2 linked regions of the Xenopus tropicalis genome follow. The protein of the gene in region 2 interacts with the protein of the main gene of each other region in a biochemical or structural test. Links are inferred from orthologs where the notes say so. Each region holds a gene or a part of one and is shown on either strand. Other genes may lie near its edges. The genes, in order: ppp2r2a and ppp2r1b.

The links.
Region 1: the proteins of ppp2r1b (region 2) and ppp2r2a form a complex in vitro, tested with the Homo sapiens proteins (2 studies listed by BioGRID). The link is inferred for Xenopus tropicalis from reciprocal best matches to the Homo sapiens genes PPP2R1B and PPP2R2A.

Annotation. Positions count from the first base shown.
Region 1 is NC_030679.2:127,954,538-127,965,039, reverse strand, and holds the start of ppp2r2a (serine/threonine-protein phosphatase 2A 55 kDa regulatory subunit B alpha isoform), read right to left. Parts: upstream 5,116-10,502; 5' UTR 4,989-5,115; coding exon 4,982-4,988; intron 1-4,981. UniProt on the Homo sapiens protein: Substrate-recognition subunit of protein phosphatase 2A (PP2A) that plays a key role in cell cycle by controlling mitosis entry and exit. Involved in chromosome clustering during late mitosis by mediating dephosphorylation of MKI67.
Region 2 is NC_030683.2:84,355,903-84,366,639, forward strand, and holds the start of ppp2r1b (serine/threonine-protein phosphatase 2A 65 kDa regulatory subunit A beta isoform), read right to left. Parts: upstream 5,423-10,737; 5' UTR 5,365-5,422; coding exon 5,287-5,364; intron 1-5,286. UniProt on the Homo sapiens protein: The PR65 subunit of protein phosphatase 2A serves as a scaffolding molecule to coordinate the assembly of the catalytic subunit and a variable regulatory B subunit.

The sequences.
Region 1 (10,502 bases), on a different chromosome or scaffold from region 2:
GCCTCTAAAACAAGTTCATTTTTCATGGCACCTTTTTGAGCAGCTACGCAAGCATGAGAAATGTCAGGGCCATTACTCACAGTTGTTTATGAGCAAGCCCACAAAGATGCTGTAGAAAATAAACTGCTTGACCACAGGAGGCTAAAGACAATAGGAGAATGGTATTATAGTAAGAAGAGGCTGCTCCACCTCTCTGGGGCCACAAAGCAAAAGTTTGCAAAAAGCAAAGTGACTGAAGCGCTCGCTGAACTGCATGCCTACATGACGTTTTCAAATAATGAATTTAGACATGAACATGTTCCTGCATGGCTGGGACTCCAAAACCTACTATGCTACAACCTGCCTACGCCCCACTCGGATTTCACATGAAGTGAAACTTCTTCAACTTCAAAAGGCACCCAATTACCTCAAAAATCTCCACACACCACTGGCTCCCTAATTTGTAACCAACATCAACAATACGAGCCATAAAAAGGACTTTTACGTCTCCTGGTGTGCAAGAAAGTGACAGTGTAATCATGCAGGGAAAGAAAGAAAGGAAAAGTTCTAAGAGAAATGAGAAAGCCTACTGCTGCCCCAACCCATTCCCCAGGCACAAAGATCCAGTGTGCTAAAGGCTACCCAGAAAGCCAGCTCGTGGGGAGAACTTCAGGAACATTGCTCCTGGGAACACAGCCGCAATTCACCCAGATCCTGCACCACCCTCACAATGACTGTTTCTAGTTCCGCCAACACAGGAAGGAGCTGAGTCTCATTCTCACAACTCCTCCAGCCTCGGGAGAGGGAGCAAGGAGGCGCCTCCTAGCATGGCACAACGGCTGCAGCTGCACAACTGGATCTGCACTCTGCCAAGCGCCAACATGCAGCAGGAATTTCACTTTCACAATATATATACTGGGAACTTCATGCTTTCTAGACTTTAGAATCACTCAATATTACATTAAAAAGAACCATGTAAAATAAGATGACCTAAAAGTATCCCAGCATAATGTATGCTACATCCTACAGGAGTGGTTACCTGGTGAAGCCCCTTTTAAAGGAACAGTAACACCAGAAAATGAAACTGTATCAAAGTATCTCAAATATAAGGTATGGCTGCCCTGCGCAGGCACAACTGGTGTGTTTGCCTCAGAAAAACTACTATATTTTATATATAAATACCCTGCTCTATAGCCAGGGGGGCAGCCATTCAAGCTGGAAAACGGGAGAAAAGGCACAGGTTACATAGCAGATAAGCTCTGTAGAATATAATTGGACTTCATCTGTTATCTGCTATGTAACCTTTGCCTTTTCTCCTTTTTTCCCCTGCTTGAATGGCAGCTCCACTGGCTACACAGCTGGGTATTTATATAAATATAGTAGCAAACACTTTCACCAACACACACATTACATTTGAAATACTTTGATACAGTTTCTTTATTTGGTGTTACTGTTCCTTTGAGACAACATTCATTGGGACACCCTTAGCTTAGAAAAGGGTTATTAACATGTATATATCACGTGTATCTGCCATAAGGGCCATTTGTCCTTGCATGAGATCATTTTGAGGCCCTACCATTAGACAAGCAATCACAAAGTTCAGTCAAACAGGGATCAGTATGCATGAAAAGTGTGAGCAAGCGGACATACAGTGCCAAAAGCAGCATTTTCCATTTTACTGCTTAATCTCCTAAAAAGCTTACTACTTAACCCAACCACTTGACACCACTGGCTGCTCTCGGCAGCACTCTGTGGGATGCCAGCGAAGACCTTTCTTGTAAATGGGCAGCCAATGATTTCGAGGGCCTGACAGGGGGTATGCAGACAAAGCTGACTGGCTACAGGTTTAAAAAACCCTCATCCTATAAGGAGTGTTGGGATATAGTAACCTAGGTGCCAAGTATTATTTATCATGGGCTCTGTGCTGAGGGTGATTTTACATGGCTACAGTGTGGGTGAGCTACATAAGGAAAAGAAAGTGGCACTGAGTTGTCTGCGTTCTTCTCACAAAGGGAGGAAGCGGAATTGTCAGATAAGGAAGAAAGGGCAGGAGAGAATACAGCATTTATTGTGGATAAGCAAATAACTGGAGGCAACAGGCATCTGGAGAGAGATGTGCACTGAAGGGCCAAAGGATGCATCTCCTGTTTGCACATTGGGAACAGGATATCCGACTGCTGCGCAGGGGCCTCTTATTTGGGCTTGGGGTATGCAAACTGTTAAATGTTTGCTTTTTTTATTCTGAAAATTCATTTTGGCAACATTAAAGGAGAAGAAGAGGTTAAATGAGAGGGGGGTGCCTGTGATTCCCTGGGCTGGTGCTCCTATTAGCAGAAAACTGCACGGGCTGGGGGTATTTCTGAGCAAGGACCATGGGGTGATTGCCTCCTTCCACTTTTTCTTTCTTCTATAGGCTGAGCTGACACGTGCAGTAGAGTGAGAAAGTCGGCTTTTTGCCAATAGTTCAGCTTTTCACTCTACTGCGCAAGCCCACCCTGTGTGGAGAAGATTTGATCAGGTAGAATGATTTTTCTAAAGTACCCTGGCTTGGGGCAGTTTTCTGCTACCAGAAGCTGCCCAGGGTATCAGGTACATGATTACAATCACTGGGTGTGCCTAACATTTGCCATCTACTCCTTTACAATTAAACCAAAATAGGCCTAATTCAGATGATAAAGCATTTTTGGCTTTTTTTAATTAATAACATTTAGCTGAATGACAATGGCTGGCCACCTAGGCTTTCTATAGTACTTTTTTGTGTTAAAAACAGCAAGTATAACCCTTCTAAACTGTCCCCCTGCTGGGGTAATTACTGGGCCCCAACAGCAAAATCATTTTATGGCGCTCTTACTTTAGGTACAAGACACTTTTCACAGATGTATATTGAAACTGCTTGTCAGTCAGTGCCCTTCAGTTGTACTTCTGGATACCTGAATTCATACCTATTGGTGTTGTTGCTAAAACCTAGTGACCAGCAGAGAATGTGAGTTGCCCGGCACAGTGCTATAAAGCCTACCATTACTTAGTGCGGAGTTGCTTTAGTAACTGCGGATTAGAAAGTTATCTTTGGGGTAATAGCGCTTCATTATCAGTGCAGATACACCAATATCTCTTTGTGCCCAATGTCACCAACATGAAGGCCACACAATGTCTGAAACAAGCAGTTACAGGCGGTTTCCATTCACATCAGGTGGCACAGTGAAGCATCGTATGCCAATGGCCTTGTGGTGTACAAGCTACACAGTTCCATTGACCCTAAATCAGAGCTGTGCAACTTTTAACGTGTGTGTGTGGAGGGGAGTGGTACGTACATTTAAATGAGGAGTTCATACAAAGCATTCTATGGAGCCCTTGAAACCAGACCATATCTGATTGGACAGTTTTGCCCTAAATAAGCCAATCAGGAGAGCACAGAAGTGAATGCTTCAGGGCAGGTTCCATAAGCATGGGCTGGACATATACTGGGAGACTTCTCACTATATATAATTATTACTGGAAATTCACCCAGTGTGGCTCTAAGCCGGCCTCTAAAAACCGCCTACCCACAATGCACCTGATGGAATACGCGCCTCATTCACAAGGTTAAACAGGGAGGCATCTTTCTGACGTAGGCAAGAGATCATGTTTATTCAACACCACGCCAAGAAAATTTGCTCCCTTTCTGTTGTGACACGTGAATGTTTGCATACATACATCCACCCTAGTAAATACATACATCCCTGCGTGTATGCTCACACTAATTAACGCTGTACTAATCACATGACTAAACATTAAAGAACAAGGACATTCTGTGCCAGCCCTGCTAATAACACAAATATTTTCCTTAACAACACTGAGCGCCGAGCATGATGATACATAGGTGCATTCATCTAATAACCAGTAAATGGCATCAAGTGCTTCTGGACAAATACATAAAACCCTCATAGCAGGTTCTGCCCAATCGCTAACTAAACTTAACCTCTAATTTGCATTCAAATATGAGCAAAATGGACTAAAAATGTGTAGGCTTAAGTTCTCCTTTACTCTCAAGTCACATGACATGAAAGATTCAGCAGAATGCAAACCTTCCCAGACAACTGGGGTATTCTTTTCCCTTTTGTTGCAGATGTAGTTGAACAAAGTGCAGCAGTGAAAGCGCCAGTGTGGCCTGTACGTACCTCCCACACAGCACAGAAACCCGGCACGGCCGCTGGCCCACACAGCTCTATGTACAAAGAGGGTGGCTGCTCAGATGGCTCCCACACTGATTACATGATCTACAAGGATACGGGGGCACCCTCAGCAGCTGGATGGTTTGAGGGCAATGATACACACAAGGTGATTGCCAGCCATGCCATCTCCAGATCAATGGGCAACCATTCTCCATTGATTTGAATGGTAATCAGAGCCAAACTTACCTTCCTTGCCCTAGAAGCCCAATTGGCTCGGCAGATTCTCGCTACATGGCTAGCTATAACAGAGATTTGACAGCTGCCCCCCCCATGCCCTTGTTTGCAATGTAATTAATGTGGAGAATAATGGGGTGGCCACCCCCCTAAGCCTGGGCCTTTGTGGCCCTTCCAGTAGCCCAGGCCTGAGGGCAGATACCCTAGCACTCACAGGCCTGGGCACAGAAAGGGATTTGCCCCCACAGGGGGTAGGTGGGAAAAGCCGGGAGAGGGGCTGCTAGAAGGAGGGACGCCCTGCTTTTGTACTACACGGCCGGCCTGCTGCCCTCCAGCTGTTGCACTGCGACTCCCCGCCCGGCAGCTGAATGGGAAGGTAGCACAAAAGCAGCTGCAGGGGATGCAGCCCTCATTCTATTAGCCCCCCGGCACTGCCAGCTAATGGCCGCCCCCTGCTATCCCCGGCACTGCGGGCAGGCTGAGCATCCCTACTGCAATGGAACAGGCCGGCGCCTCCCCGCTGCACAGCCCTCACACGGCATCCAAACACTGGCCAATTGTACCCGGCCATTACAAATGCCCCCCTCCATGCATCCCCGCCATTCCAGCTGTCTCACCCGCCATGCTGCCCCTGGCCACTGCTGGTCCCGGGCTCCGGATGGAGGCGGATACCGGGGGAGGCCGCTGCCCGGGGCGGGAGGACCGGACTCTGAGACCGCGGCTTCAAGATGGAGGCCGTAGGCACGGTGACGTCACTGGGTAGAGACAAAGGGGAGGAGCGGCCGGCGGGGCGGGGCCAATACGTCACGCTGTCCCTGTGATTGACGCCTCTTCCTTTCTCTCTGTGCCGTGAGGGATTCTCTCAGTGACTGGGAAAGGGCTGTGTGTGGGGCTCAACAATAACTGGCCCTTAGCCCACTGAGAGAAATCTGCGTCTCTGGGCTTGTGCTTTAGTATTAAACACCATGGGTCCCAGTGTTGTGTGCGGCGTGTCGTCATGATCCCCCATGAACTCTTAGTTACATAGTTACATAGTTACATAGTTACATAGAGTTGAAAAAAGACCAGTGTCCATCAAGTTCAACCCATCCAAGTAAACCCAGCACACCTAACCCACACCTACCAACTCTGACAGTAGTCTCCTCTTTAAAATGTCATGTAAAATTACTTTTTGACTGGTGTTGCAGTGTCGGACTGAGATGGCAGGGGCCCACCAGAAAACCCTGGGCAATGGGCCCACTCTCAAAACTTTAATTCATCTTGTAGATTGTAAGCTCTTTTGGGCAGGGCCCTCCACCTCCTGTATCGGTTATTGGTTGCTTTATATGTTACTCTGTATGTCCAATGTATGTAACCCACTTATTGTACAGTGCTGCGGAATATGTTGGCGCTTTATAAATAAATGTTAATAATAATAAAAATAATCCTCTCCTCCTTCAAACCATTTATTATCCTAGTCTCTCTGCATACTATACTCTATTCTTCCATCCATTTAACTTCCATGTTCCCATACAGAAATAGGGAATGACCATCAAATCGGATAAATAAATAGAAGCAAGAAGGCCACTGACTCCTGGGCCCACCGGGATTTTTTCTGGTATGCTGTAGGCCAGTCTGCCTTTAAGACAAAAGACTAAGGAATACTGACTGCCAGTTCAAAACCTGTGTAAAATGAATCCTCCTGTGTGGGCACGGGTAGAAAAGTAGGCATGTTGTGGGCAAAAGACTTACATTCAGGGGGCTAACTGAATGAACCCCACTAGCATCCCATATTTTTACCCAATCAGACCGACTGCCTACTGGCATGTTGTCCACTTCCCACCCTGATGGTAGAAGCAGCATCAGCTATGGGCTTGCAGAGGGATGAAAAGGAGTTCTGCACAGGGCCGGATTTGTCTTTTGGGCACCCCTAGGCCACGCCCGTTGATCACCCCCCCAACGTGCATGCGCGAACGAGCGAACAACCGCTCACCCCGCCCCCCTGTGCGAGCACGCATGCGCATACATTTAAAGCCCCATATGGAGCAGTGGGGAGAAGTTCTCACTGCTCTGTATTGAAAAAAACTTTTAAAATTCTGTTGTGGCGGGGCGGCATGCCGCCCCTACATATCTGCCGCCCTAGGCCCGGGCCTTCGTGGCCTCTCCACAAATCCGGGCCTGGTTCTGCATATCCTACCTGACCATCATAGTGGCAATTACACTTTTACATGCCCAGTAGCTACACTGGGGGCCCATTTATCAAAGTCTAAATTTCGGACTTTTAAAAGTACATTAGAAAAAATTTGGACTAAATCTGATAATTTCTGATGTGCATTAAAAGCGCAAAAATTTCAGATCGTGGTCATACAAAAATATCATGGTACGCTTAGAAAGTTCCAAAATTTTCGTATCTGACCGATCTTAAATGGCGCAAAAAACTTTCTGACTTTGATCCTTCGGTGCATGATTTTGGAAGCCACCCATAGGGATCAATGGCACTCTGCAGCTCCAACCTGGCCCAAGGAAAGTCTCCCATAGGGCTCAATGGCACTCTGCAGCTCCAACCCGGCCCAAGGAAAGTCTCCCATAGGGCTCAATGGCACTCTGCAGCTCCAACCCGGCCCAAGGAAAGTCTTCCATAGGGCTCAATGGCACTCTGCAGCTCCAACCCGGCCCAAGGAAAGTCTCCCATAGGGCTCAATGGCACTCTGCAGCTCCAACCCGGCCCAAGGAAAGTCTCCCATAGGGATCAATGGCACTCTGCAGCTCCAACCCGGCCCAAGGAAAGTCTCCCATAGGGCTCAATGGCACTCTGCAGCTCCAACCCTGCACAAGGAAAGTCTCCCATAGGGCTCAATGGCACTCTGCAGCTCCAACCTGGCCCAAGGAAAGTCTCCCATAGGGCTCAATGGCACTCTGCAGCTCCAACCCGGCCCAAGGAAAGTCTCCCATAGGGCTCAATGGCACTCTGCAGCTCCAACCCGGCCCAAGGAAAGTCTCCCATAGGGCTCAATGGCACTCTGCAGCTCCAACCCGGCCCAAGGAAAGTCTCCCATAGGGCTCAATGGCACTCTGCAGCTCCAACTTGGCCCAAGGAAAGTCTCCCATAGGGCTCAATGGCACTCTGCAGCTCCAACCCGGCCCAAGGAAAGCCTCCCATAGGGCTCAATGGCACTCTGCAGCTCCAACCCGGCCCAAGGAAAGTCTCCCATAGGGCTCAATGGCACTCTGCAGCTCCAACCCGGCCCAAGGAAAGTCACCATACCGAAGCTTGATTGAATAACAAAACTTTCATACTCACTGCAACAAATAAGATTTTGTCGCATAAATTGTCACAAAGTATGAAAAAGTTGCAGAAATTAAGGAAAATATTTTATAAAATACGCACAGTTCGTAAAAAATACAAATTTTTAGTATTCAGACTCAATCGTACTTTAATGAATAGGCCCCTAAGGCTTCTTCACCTGCTACAAGACTGTACAATCCTGGGTATTCTCTTATATAGCTGCCATCGCATGAAGCTCTGCCAAGCAACATCTCCAGAGAGGGTTGGGGGCCAGAGGAATATGGAAAAAGTGATTCTAGTTATTTATATGGGCCTTCTATTATAATCAGCTTGGGCACCTAGAGAATGTAACAAAAAGCAAAAGCACTCAGGGCTACAAGGGAAAACCCTTTAGAAAATTTATTGCGGAGGTGCAACGTTTCGGAGCAAACCTAGCCCCTTTATCAAGCAAGGGGCTAGGTTTGCTCCGAAACGTTGCACCTCCGCAATAAATTTTCTAAAGGGTTTTCCCTTGTAGCCCTGAGTGCTTTTGCTTTTTGTTGCTTTGCAGTTTTGGGAGGGTGCCGATCCCTCTAGCAGAGTGCACCGGGCGTTCAATTTTGGAGAGCCAGGGTGTGCGGAAACGGTCTCTGTTGTGCTCACCTAGAGAATGTGCCATATGTACCAAGATGGTTGGACCAGTTCCAGATTGAGATTCAAAATAGTCCCTGGCATTTCAAGTACACAGAGGTCCAAACAGCCCCCCCCCCAGCCCAATAAATAGTGAGTGTCTATGGCATCTTACAGCAGCCCCTCTGGCATTTGCCAAAACTCACAGATTGTCAGTCTGGGCCTGATATTGTCAAGACTTGACCTGAGTGGGCTTATGTACAGTGTCGGACTGGCCCACCGGGATACCAGGAAAACTCCTGGTGGGTCCAGGTGTCAGTGGGCCCTCTTGCTTCTATTTAGCCTATTTCATGGTCATTCCCTATTTCTGTATGGGAACAAGAAGACTTGGAGGAGGACTTGGAGAATAAAGAGTTTGAGGTAGGAGAGGAGGAATTAAAGTTTTGAGAGTGGGCCCATGGTCCAGGGTTTTCTGGTGGGCCCCTGCCATCTCAGCCCTGCTTATGTATGAAAAAATTCACGCACCAGCCCTAGATATCTGGTTGGGAAAATCCAAAGAGTAAGCTGAGGAATGATGGATGGCTTTCTAGCAGAATGCCAAGAAAGGCAAAACAATAACAAATATATTTTGTGAATATGGAATATTTCTATAAAGTGGAGCAGTGATCATTTGTGTTATGGAATTATCCCTGTCTATGTAAAATGTATAATAAAGCAGCAGAATTCTTAAAGGAGTTGTTCACCTTTGAGTTAACTTTTAGTATGGTGTAGAGAGTAATATTTTGAGACAATTTGCAAATTGGTCTTAATTTTTTATTGTTTGTAGTTTTTTTTACTTCCATAATTGTTTGGCAACTCTCCAGTTTGGAAAAAAAAGTTATAAAAAGTAACAATAATAATAAAACTGTAGGCTCACAGAAAAATAGTTTTTAGTTGCCGGGGTCAGTGACCCCGATTCAAAAGAGTTTGAAGAAAAAGACCAATAATTAAAAACCTATAAGAAATAAATAATAAAGACCAATTGAAAAGTTAATTAGAATTGGTAATTCTAAATTGGTAATTCTAAAAGTTAAATTAAAGGTGAAAGTAAGTGTAGGATTGGCCAGACTGGGGATGACGTAATTGGTCAGCTTGAATATATTGCAATATATGGACAAACAAACCCTGTTTTGCTTAAAGCGGAGGACATTGCTTGGTAGCTTAATGCACAGAATGTCTTAATATCATATATACAGTATATTGATGATGGGTGAGTGCAAGGAACCCCTTTTGTCTGTATATGAATTGTGTGTTCACGACAATAGCTGATAAAGTTACCAAATGAATATCAGATTGCAGGGTTGGACCGGGCCGATGGGACACCGGGAAAAAACCCTGACCCGACCCTTGCCGGTGCTCCCCCAGCCCCGGTGGGCCCTGCACCCCCAGTTTAACCCTGTCAGATAGGGAAGTTGAATGGAGTCAGTATGAATAGCATGTCGCCCAGTCATTCGGGACTCACAAATAAGCCGGAAAATTTGCGGCGATCCGGAGGTAAGTAGAGAGTAATGCATTTTCGGTAGGCTTGTCACCTGCGGCAACAAATCTCCCATGTGCCATTGCCCTTAGATTCTGCAGAGGTGGGGAATGATACATTTAACACTTGAGGACTGATTTTTTTTTTTAAAAAAAGTGTTTAAGAAATTGCCAGATAGAATGTGTGTAACTGCTCTGAGCTCTAACATCCCACCCATCTGGTAATCCTCTGACGTGAACTAACATTGCCTTCAAATATATACAGTGCAGGGCAACTGGGCCTTATTGGGAAATGTATTTTTTCCATGCTGGAATGATTCGTAGAGATCTTGGGGAATCTGACAGGATTGGTATTTTTAAAACAAGCCAAACAAAAGCTCAAAGGATTCCTCCAAACACTGTTATTGCACCATGAAAGAAAATAGAATTCTTAGAATTCACTAAATACATTCACTAAATATTTTCAATGGTTTTAAAGTTATTTGTCAAAATATATTCTACATAACATCCGTCTGTCCCTTTCTGACTGATCTGCTGATTCTGACTCCAGAAACAATGTAGCAGAGGTCAGTTCTCCTCTAGTTCTCGTAAGTCAGAACCAGTATTGCAGAAAATAAAAACAACTATTCCAAATACAATGACACAACATTTCCATGCCCAGTCAGGCCTCCTTTAGTCCGTCCCTCTCCAGCTATTCACTGCCCACACACAGACACACATGCCACCTGGCGGCCCATTCTTTGCCATGT
Region 2 (10,737 bases):
ACCCCATGAGCGGCAGTGCCATTCAACCAATTTTTCTATACACAAATTTTCTTTCCTCCTAGCTCAGTGTTTGCCAAACCATGGGCAATGCAGTTCTCCATTATGTAGACAAGAACAGTTTTAATGCCTAGGTGCCAATAAGAATCCACTCTCTGGCTTCAAATGACATATTAGCGGGTTCTACTGAACTGGATGCCCCACAGTACATACGTTTTTCGCTTTTTTTTTTTTAATTTGCTGTATAAGTGCACCTTCACAACTGATTAGGAAAGCACAACCATGGGTGCCACTAATGTTTGTGCTATGCTACAAAAGGTCCCCCTATGACAATGCCCCGGTTATCCTGAAACTCATGTCTGCGTACAGCTCACTGGCTAGAAGAAGAGTTAAACAGTGCAATGCCCCATTAGCAAATCTTATGCATAAGCAGCATACAGTTTTTGAATTACTAGAAAGCCTAAAGGTGTTCATCAATATGACTCAATGTGGCCCATTTATCAAAGTACGATTGCCTTTGAATACAAAATTTTTTTTCATTTTCGTACCTTGCGTATTTTTGCCGATTTAGTCGCTATTTTGCGCAACTTTTTCAACTGTGTGTCAAAAATTATGTGACAAAATCGTATTGTCGCGCCAAGTACGAAAGTTTCGTGACACTTATATTGCCCTGTGTGCCACAAGATGTGGGGTGTGTTAGCAGTGTGAATACAGACTGTCATGCCACTCACTAGAGTGGCACAACACTATGTACCATTCCCCTAGGCTGGAAAATACCTTTGTCTTGACAAAAAGGTAATCACACGGTCAGCAAGTGTTTCTGCGTAGTATTCACCATACGGTTAGGTGCAAGGGCAGGGTTTGCTTGATAACCGTTGCCTATTTTTTCCAGCATTTTGTGAGCACCCGGTTATTACTCTTAGGCTCTGAGTTAAGAAGCAGCTCAATATGCAAAGGGGTAGTAATATGGACTAGTAATTTAACTAGTTCCCCTCCTGCATATTAAACAAGCAAAAGGTGTGTACAATTTAAGTTAGTATTCCATTATGAATAAAACCATTAATAGAGAATAGAAAGTTAACAAACTGATAGTTATGCAGCTTTCAGAAGCAAAACCTTTAACATAACCATTTTCATTGAGAATGGATATTCTGGAAGAAAAACTGTAATAAAGTGCTTTAGGTCAATGTTTCCTCTTAGCTGTGCACACACATACATTTTGAGGCCACCACACACAACAAATTGCGCACAAAAAATTTTGTGCAAAAACACAAAAGTTGTATTTATTCTGACCTGAGCACACAAATTAAAAATTAATTCTTTTGAGCCCATAACTAAGACAGAATTAAAGTGGCCATACATATTAAAGGAACAGTAACACTAAAAAATAAAAATGTTTTAAAATAATTAAAATATAATGTACTGTTGCCCTGCACTGGTAGAAGTTGCGTGTTTGCTTCAGAAAGACTACTATAGTTAATAGAAATAGCTGCTGTGTAGCCATGGGGGCAGCCATTTAAATTGAAAGAAGGAGAAAAGGCACAGGTTACATAAGAAGATACCAGATAAACTGTGTAGAATACAATGGGAATCTATGCTACTTATCTGTTGTTATCTGCTTAGTAACCTGTGCCTTTTCTCCTTTTTTCAATTTAAATGGCTGCCCCCATGGCTACACAGCAGGGTATTTATATAACTGCAGTAGTGTTTATGAAGAAAACACACAACTTTTAGCAGGGCAGAGCAATAGTATATAATATATTAATTATTTTTATACACTTTCATTTTTTGGTGTTACTGTTCCTTTAAGAATTTTCTCTCCCTACTGACCAGGTTCAGTGTGACAAATTATCATAAGGGCACTGAACAATCACGCATATAGCATTTTTTCATCTAAAATCAGGCAGGTTTGAAATTTTTTGTTGTTTACAATGATTTTTGTCATTGTCCAAATGTTTGCAGGATCAAGCAGGCAGTTTTACTAGCTTCAACTGGACAATATCGCTTGAAATGGTCATTTTTTTCATGGACAAATCATACTTTTAAACAATTCCAGATAAGCTTGGTCCTAAGATAACTAAGATTGTTTTAAAATCTTAACATTTATGGCCAGCTTAAACCCTTTCACTGCCAACAGCGTATGGATGAAGACTGAAGCAGTCAGTAGCAGATCAGTAATACTAATACTGTTTTTAGCATAGCTTTGTCATGTGTAATTTTGGTGCAGAAAAATAACTTATGCGCTATTTTCATTTTGGGGTCAGTACACACCACAGACTTTGGGATATCTATGCATATTGGGCATCAAACTGTTCAGTAGACCTTAGGTGTTTCTATTTGGGGTGATTTGCCTCTGTATGCAAGAAATTGTGTAAGATAAATGCGGCAAATTGCAACTTTTTTTTCTGAAATGTCATAAAAATCGGCAAACAGGAAAGCTTTACGGCTTGGTACTTTGGAGTAAAAAGAAATGTGTACCCATTATAGATTCAGGGGAATGTGTACTTTCCAAAAATATATGGCTTTCTGGGGTGAGTGTACTTTTTTTTTCCATTATCCCACATAAAGATGTAAAAGGGGCCCCTACATGCCACATATTTGGGTAAACGTATACACACTGGGCATCAAACTGTTCAGTGGACCCTTGGTGTTCAAATTTAGGGTGTTTTATCTTGGTACCTAATGCTATGTGGGAGATAAGATGCTGCAAAGTGGAAGCTTTGAGGGGATTTTTGGAAATGTCATCAAAATTGCTACATTTAGAAAAACTTTGCGGATTGGTACTTTGGAGTAGAAAGACATGGGTACCCATTTTAGATTCGGGGGAATGTGTACTTTCCAAAAAATATATGATTTTCTGGGGTGAGCGTACTTTTTACTAGCTTTATCCCACATATAATGATGTAAATGTGTTGATTTTGCCGGAGCTGAAATGACAGAAATGATAGATCATATGGTGTTATGTTCACTTTGGGGGCCCTACATGCCACATAATTGGGTAAACCTATACATATTGGGCATTAAACTGTTCAGTGGACCCCTGGCGTTCATATTTAGGGTGTTTTATCTTGGTACCTAATGCTATGTGGGAGATAAAATGCTGCAAAGTGGAAGCTTTGAAGTGATTTTTTTAAAAATGTCACAAATTTTGATGATAATAATAATAAATTTAGGAAAGCATTGCGACTTGATAGTTTGGAGTAGACAGACAGTTGTGACTATTCTGGATTCCCCAGAATCTGTTCTTTCCAGAAATGTATAATTTTCTGTTAGTGGATTTTTGGCCTTGAAATCTAAATTACGCAGCTTTCTGAAGCAGTGCTTTCAAAATTTGGTAGTGTACTGCTGGGAGTTTTTGACCTATACAAGTGAGAAATCTTCATAAAGCTATATATATTTGGTATTGGCATGTTCAGGAGACATGGGACTTTCCAAATCAGTTGTATTTTTGTTTCTGGTATGTGTGTTAATATATGTGATTTTTTTTTTTCATTTTTAGACATTTAGAAGCCTATATCTTGTCACAGAGTTGGAATTACACCAAAATCTACCATATTTTGAAAGCTTAGGTTGTCCTGAAAAAAAACAATATATTGTTTTCCTGGGTAAACTAAAAGTCCACCCGAGGAAAGGCCCCTAAACTGAAACAGTGCAAAATGTTCAAAAACTGTCTGGCAGTAGAAATTCCGCTTTGACCAAAACCGCTGGCAGTGAAAGGGTTAAAGGGAATATTGCTCCAGGCAAAGTACTTCCAAAAGACTAGAGACAGTGCAGTTAGGGGTGTGCATTTTGACTGCTTCTGTTTTCCACCTCAAGATGGTCGAAACACTGTGTGACACATTAGCCTAAGGGGTTCAAATACCAACAAAAAGACAGAACATAAAATGTAAAATTGTCTATTAAAATTGCTTTGAATAAATTCTGCAACTAATAAAACCCTGAAAATATCAAAAAAAATAATCAGCACCCATACTAGCAGGAACTATGGGCAGTCTTTTAAAGCATGTTAAAAGTACAAGGAAACCCAAATTCACTTAAGGGTGGCAATATGTTAGGCAACACCCAGTCAAATACATAGTTTAGTGTGGTCCCTGGGCCAGAGATTATTTTGAGGGGGGGGGGGAACCCACACACCGGCCCAGCTTAAATGCAAATACACACCAATATTGCCAACTACTTGCCAGCAACAAGTTCCCTAACCCCTTAGATGTTGCTCCCAGTGGCCTCAAAGCAGATGCTTATTTTTGAATTCCTGGCTTGGAGGCAAGTTTTGGTTGCATAAAAACCAGGTGTCCTGCCAAACAGAGCCTCCTGTTGGATACCAGTAAACATAGCCAATCACAGCCCTTATTTGGCACCCTTATGAACATTTTTCACGCCTGCGTTGCTCCCCAACTCTTTTTACATTTCAGTGTGGCACAAGGGTAAAACAGGTTGGGGATCCCTGACCTAGGCCAATGCAGACCCATCGGGAGTGGGCCTTGTCAACATGCTGATGTGGTCCTTCCTGATTTTCAAACCTGTTCGATAGATATCTGGGGTTTAGCAGATTGGCACCCCTCTAATGAATTTAGGTTTCCTTGACCTTTAAATGATTTGCCCAGCCATAGAATACAAGGATTTTGACAAAAAAGGCCTATTGCCAATACGATGTCACAACAACAGTTTGAAAGAGTAGAATATTTGTCTAAATACAGTGTAAACTACAAAAAAAGCCTTAAAGAAGAATACATATTGGGAATACCAACTGTAAAAGCATGGCTTGTAATCCTTTATTTACAAGAAATCCCACATTTCCCAATGTAACAAGGATGACAAGAAAATGGGCTGAGGGGCAACACATGCCAAATGAATGGCTACTGGGATGCCCCTACATGTATGTAATTGCCAGTCGCTATTTAAGGCCGTTGCATAGCAGGCATTAGAGAAACAAGGCTGAGAACACAATGACTGGCACAATCGCTGCTCGCTATATTGCTGGAACCGCTAATCTCCCAGCATGATCTGAATGCTCTCTTATGGTACGAGCCCGGGGAACTGCAGCATCATCCCAACACCAGAGCACTCCAGCGGAACCAATGGAACGTAAAAGAACTCGGAACAGATAGAAGCCCAAGGTTTCCATATGAAAGAACATTCCTGTACAACTGCTAAAACTGCCATGACAATATCGAATGCACACACACACGCTATGCGCAGAGCCACCGCAGCCCCTCCATGGGTGTGCCCTGCACCACTGACACGCTAGGGGGCTCAACACAGAACTGAGCCGCGGTATAATCGCCTCACCTGTACGTCCTCATTCCTCAGCTCATCGATAAGCACCGCAATGGGATAAAGCGAATCGTCACCGTCAGCTCCTGCCATCTTATCACCGGTATAATGTCGTCCTATTGTCTCGGCACGCCGGCCACTTCCTGCCTAGAAATGAAGCCGAGAGAAGACGCAGGCCCTGAAGCGGATATGACGACACTGGCGGTATAAACCAGGTCACTGACACGCCCCTTTTCGCTTAGGCTTCTTTATAAACAATGCAACGCTATAGAACTGCTGGGAAGTGTAGTGGTTTACAAAGAGGTGCGGAATGGGGACGCGGCACCTGTGCTTAAATGTCCTCATAGTTATATTAATAAGGCGTAAACCTCATTTCCAGACAGATGTGCTGCTCTGCATAGTCCTTATGTTAGTGACCAGAGGTCTATTTATATTTAGCAGACTGTGTTTGCTTTGATCAGGGGAAGTCTGGGGGGAACTGCCTGTGAGCTGGGTGGGTCTGGCGGATTTCCAGATAAACCTCTGTGAAAGCCATGAACTCATTCATGTATTTAGTAACAGTGACACAGAACTTTTGCTTTGCTAGACTGTAGGCAAGGAACATTCATCTGACCCCAGGCACGCCTACTGGCCTATTTCTAATGCCATATGTTTTACACCATAATTTTATTCTTAGAAAACACTTGGTTAAAATAATATCTCTGCTTTGTTAAAATGTGTCATTATACTTAGGGGCTGATTTACTTACCCACGAACGGGTCGAAATGAGTCCGATTGCGTTTTTTTCGTAATGATCGGTATTTTGCGATTTTTTCGGATTCTTTACGAATTTTTCGTTACCAATACGATTTTTGCGTAAAAACGCGAGTTTTTCGTATCCATTACGAAAGTTGCGTAAAAAGTTGCGCATTTTTCGTAGCGTTAAAACTTACGCGAAAAGTTGCGCATTTTTCGCGTAAGTTTTAACGCTACGAAAAATGCGCAACTTTTTACGCAACTTTCGTAATGGATACGAAAAACTCGCGTTTTTACGCAAAAATCGTATTGGTAACGAAAAATTCGTAAAGAATCCGAAAAAATCGCAAAACATACGAAAAAGTCGCAAAATGTTCGTTTTCAAGTCGGAACTTTTCCAATTCGGGTCGGATTCGTGGGTTAGTAAATCAGCCCCTTAGTGTGAGGTGACCTGACTCTAGACTGGCACAGAGATTTACTTAACAGCTGGCACAGGTCATGATCTTGAATTATTATATAGTGTCCGCAGGTTACACAGCCCTTTACATTTATTTATAACAAAAATGGTTTTGGCAAATGACTATCGCATGACAATTGCAGTGTACAAGGTATAAAGATATAGCTATACTTGCAGTTACATCTGCAAGTATAGTTTGGGTCTTGACAATTTCCACACAGTCAGTTTTGCTTTTATTATAGGTATGTACTTTAAAATGAGCTCCTTGCACTTAGTTGGTGCTGCCCAGTCCTTTCATTTCAAATTGGGCACTGCTGTGTCTACTGACACAGTTAATCACAAAACAAAAACTGTAGTATTGTGTTAGGCAAAATATTTTAGAGCTCCGAAAGCTTGCAGTGTATTTTTATTGTTAGCCAATATAGGTATCATTTCTACAATACTCTTGTATTTGTGTTTTTTTTTTTATTATTACTGACCCAGTAAAACCCTGAAGCTACACCAGCCCCCTAACCAGGCGGTAGGTCCCGGGCTCCCTTCGCAAGCACAAAACTGAAGGCAGGAGGGACCAAGAGGTGCAAATAAAAAGCTTTTGCATGCAGCTGCCTGCAAGGAAATTGCATTGAATCCAACAGTGCTTGTGGACATTAATGATCCCTAATGTGTTTTATAAATGAACCACTGAAATTATAGTATAAACTTCATAATAAAGTAATACATAAAAAAGCAATACTAGCTACACTGCTGTGTCAGTCCTAATATGTTCCGCTTCTCTTGTGAACAGAAAGAGCAGACTTGGATAATTATCTCTTACATAGAGAGATATATGGATACAGTCATAGAGGAAAATTGCCAATTACAGCAGCTATGTAACCCGCTGCCATCAGCCTTTTCCTGTGACTGCACCTGGAGCCACTGTGTTTGCCCAGGTGCAAGCATGCGGAACAGATTTCACCAAAACGTTCAAGTATGCATTTCAGTGCCAAAAACACTCCGTGTGCCTGTACCTGGCCTGACATAGTGGCTCCTGGTGCTGTCACAAGAGAAGACTGATGCCTGCATTTACCCCTTTGCACTGTGCAAGGAGTAAATGCAGGTGCTTAGTATATAGTGCTCATTAAATGCTCCAGCTCTTCCGCTTACACTTTATTAAATGAGCTAGCTCATCTCTAGTACTTGCAAATAAAATGCAAATGTGCAATTGGCATTATATTGCTGTATGTGTAAGAACTGGGAAATGCTGTTTGTCATGTCACTATTTGCTTTGCTGCCAAGGAAGTCTGGGTGAAATGTATTTTGTGATAGGAGTCACTGTGGCAAAGGGGGCAAAGGATTTACATGTATTTTATAATAGTAAGGTCCATTTACCATCTGTGAGACAGATAAGTAAAGTGACCATCCTATTTCATTATTTGTTGCTTTTTATATAACTGTTATGTAAATATTTCATTGTAAAACCCATCCAAGCAATCCAGTTTTAAAGTTTTTGTTCTATGTTATGTGAACCGTTATATATCTCTCTATTTAAGTCAAACATAATAAAGAAGTTATGGGAAGTAACAGTGTTTAGAAATTGACGACCTACAACAATAGAAAATCCCCCCTCACAATTAGGAAAATGCAAAACTGGAAAAAAATTTGAAAAAAGTAAGTCAGGGTGTACTAAAAAAAACATTAGAATGTAAATTGCCATTGGGATGGCATACGCGTCACTGCGATATCCCGCAGTCACCCCAAGTTTCCTCTGAAGACACCTAAGATTTGTCGTGGGCGACTAATCTCCCCGCAATGCCATCCCTCCGGCTAGAATGTAAATTGCAGGTGGGATGGCATACGCGTCGCTGCAATGTCCCGCAGTTGCCCAAAGTTGTCTTTATACATGATTATTACAATGCCCCAGATGCAGGCCCCCTTAAGGTTGAAGACACATGGAGCTACTAGTAGCAGCTATTTGTTACGGCTACTAAAACAAACAATCCTGATTATTACTAATAATTGTCTCTGTGTGTTTTAGCAGAGGCAATTCTCTGTATTGTCTATGGCGGGGTATTCTTTGGCATTTAGTAGTAGTGACAAGTAGCTGCTACTAAGTAGCTCCGTGTGTCTTCACCCTTAGGGCAATGGCAGGCAAAGAAATGAGCAAGTTCTTAATAAAGAAGCAAACTTAATTTGTTACATATTTACAGTATATTCATTTATATGCACATATTTTAGGACGATGAATAAAGCTGCCCTTTCACAAGCTGACATTCGCTGCCAACTCCATACCAAATTGGCAGCTTTATGGCCCGTATACAGTGCCCTCCATAATGTTTGGGACAGTTGGCTCTACAGGTGTTTGTGGTAACTCAGGTGTGTTGCATTGCTTAATTAGTGTAGAGATAAGATACCTAGGCTGCTTCTACCAATTGGAGTCTGTAGTTGCCTTTGTTCAACATGAGGAGAAAAGCTGTGGCAAGGAAAGTCAAGGAAGCTATTTTGAGGCTGAAAAACAAAAATAAAACCCTTAGAGACATCAATCAAACCTTAGGATTACCAAAATTATCTGGATTATTATTAAGAAAAAAGAATGCACTGATGAGCTCTGTAATCGCAAAGAGACTGATAGGCCAAGGAAGGCCTCCACTGCTGATGACAGAAGAATCCTCACTATGGTAAAGAAAAATCGCCTGTCCAACAGATCAGAAACACTTTTCATGAGGTATGAGTGTCAGAGACTACTATCCACAACTATCCACTGACTTCACGAACGGAAATACTAAGGGTAAACTGCAAGATGCAAACCACTAGTTAGCCACAAAAATAGCTAGGTTACAGTTTGCAAAAAAGTACTTGCCTGCAGAATTCTGGAAAAAGTTGATATGGACAGATGAGACCAAGAGTAACCTGTATTAGAGTGATAGCAAGAGGAAAGTGTGTAGAAGAAAAAGGAACTGCCCGTGGTGGTTGAGGGTGTTATGGCTTGGGCATGTTTGGCTGCCACAGGTACTGGCACACTTATCTTTACTGATGATGTAACTGCTGGTTCACAATGAATTTTGTGGAGTAAAGAAAAATCTGATTTGCTCAAGTTCCAGTAAATTACTTCAAATACATTGGACGGCCCTTCATCCTGAAACAAGAAAATGATCCCAAACATACTTAAGGCAGCACAGGATTTTCTCAAAGCTAAAAAATGGAAAATTCTTAAATGCACAAGCCAGACTCATGATTTAAATCCAACTGAGCATGCCTACCATATGCTGAAGAGGAAATTTAAAGAGACATGCCCCGTAACAAGCAGGAGTTGAAAGTGGCTGCAGTAGAGGCTTGGCAGAACACCACCAGAGAAGATACTCAGCACCTGGTGGGGTCTATGAATCGCAGAAATCTAGCAGTTGTTGCATTCAAGGAATATGCAACAGAGTACTAAACACGACTGCTTTAATATACCTACCATTACTTTGTCCCAAATATTATGGTGCCCTGAAAAAAGGGGGACTGTGTATAAAAAGTGTTGTAATTTCTATGTGGTGAAACTGAAATATATGCAAATAACTTTAAGAGTCTGGAATGTGCACTTTAATCACGTCTGAATTGTTTGATTTAAAATTTTACAGAGGCGTAAATCAAAGAAAAATGTGTCTTTGTCCCAAACATTATTGAGGGCACTGTATAGGAGCTAAAATAGCTGGTTCTTTGACTTGTATATGTTCAATGAATCATGGCTTCCTGTTTTAAAACTGTGTCATGTGGCACTGCACTGCTATTACAGGAAATGGAAAGTTAATTTAAAAATATAATTTAGTATAGATGCAATCCTTGTAATAGACATATGTCTATGTCTACCTACAAATCTAAGCTACCTTATCTAACTACCACTCTAAGCACATACGCTGGGAAAAGACTGATTTCTTTATTTTGTGCTCAGTGCTGGTAATTGAGCAAGCAGGGCCTTACAAACCTTACGAGAGACTCTACAAGGAAAATGACTCAGCTGAAGATAAAAGAAAAGAAAGTATAAGAGCTTAGCATTCATATCAGCTTCTTTCCATGGTCTTGGAAACCTTGTTAATTGCTGACACAGATGCTTAAAGGAGAAAGAAAGGCTAAATCACGGGGGTGTGCCAAATTTTAGGCACCCCCAAGTGATTGTAATCACATAACTGAAAACCCCAGTTTTTATCCACTGGGGCGTATGAATGAAGGTGCTACATAGGCTCTAAATTGCAGTTGACAGTAGCAATTAATTTTGAGAAGCCTATTGCAGGTTGGAGTAAAGCAAAGGCCCAAAT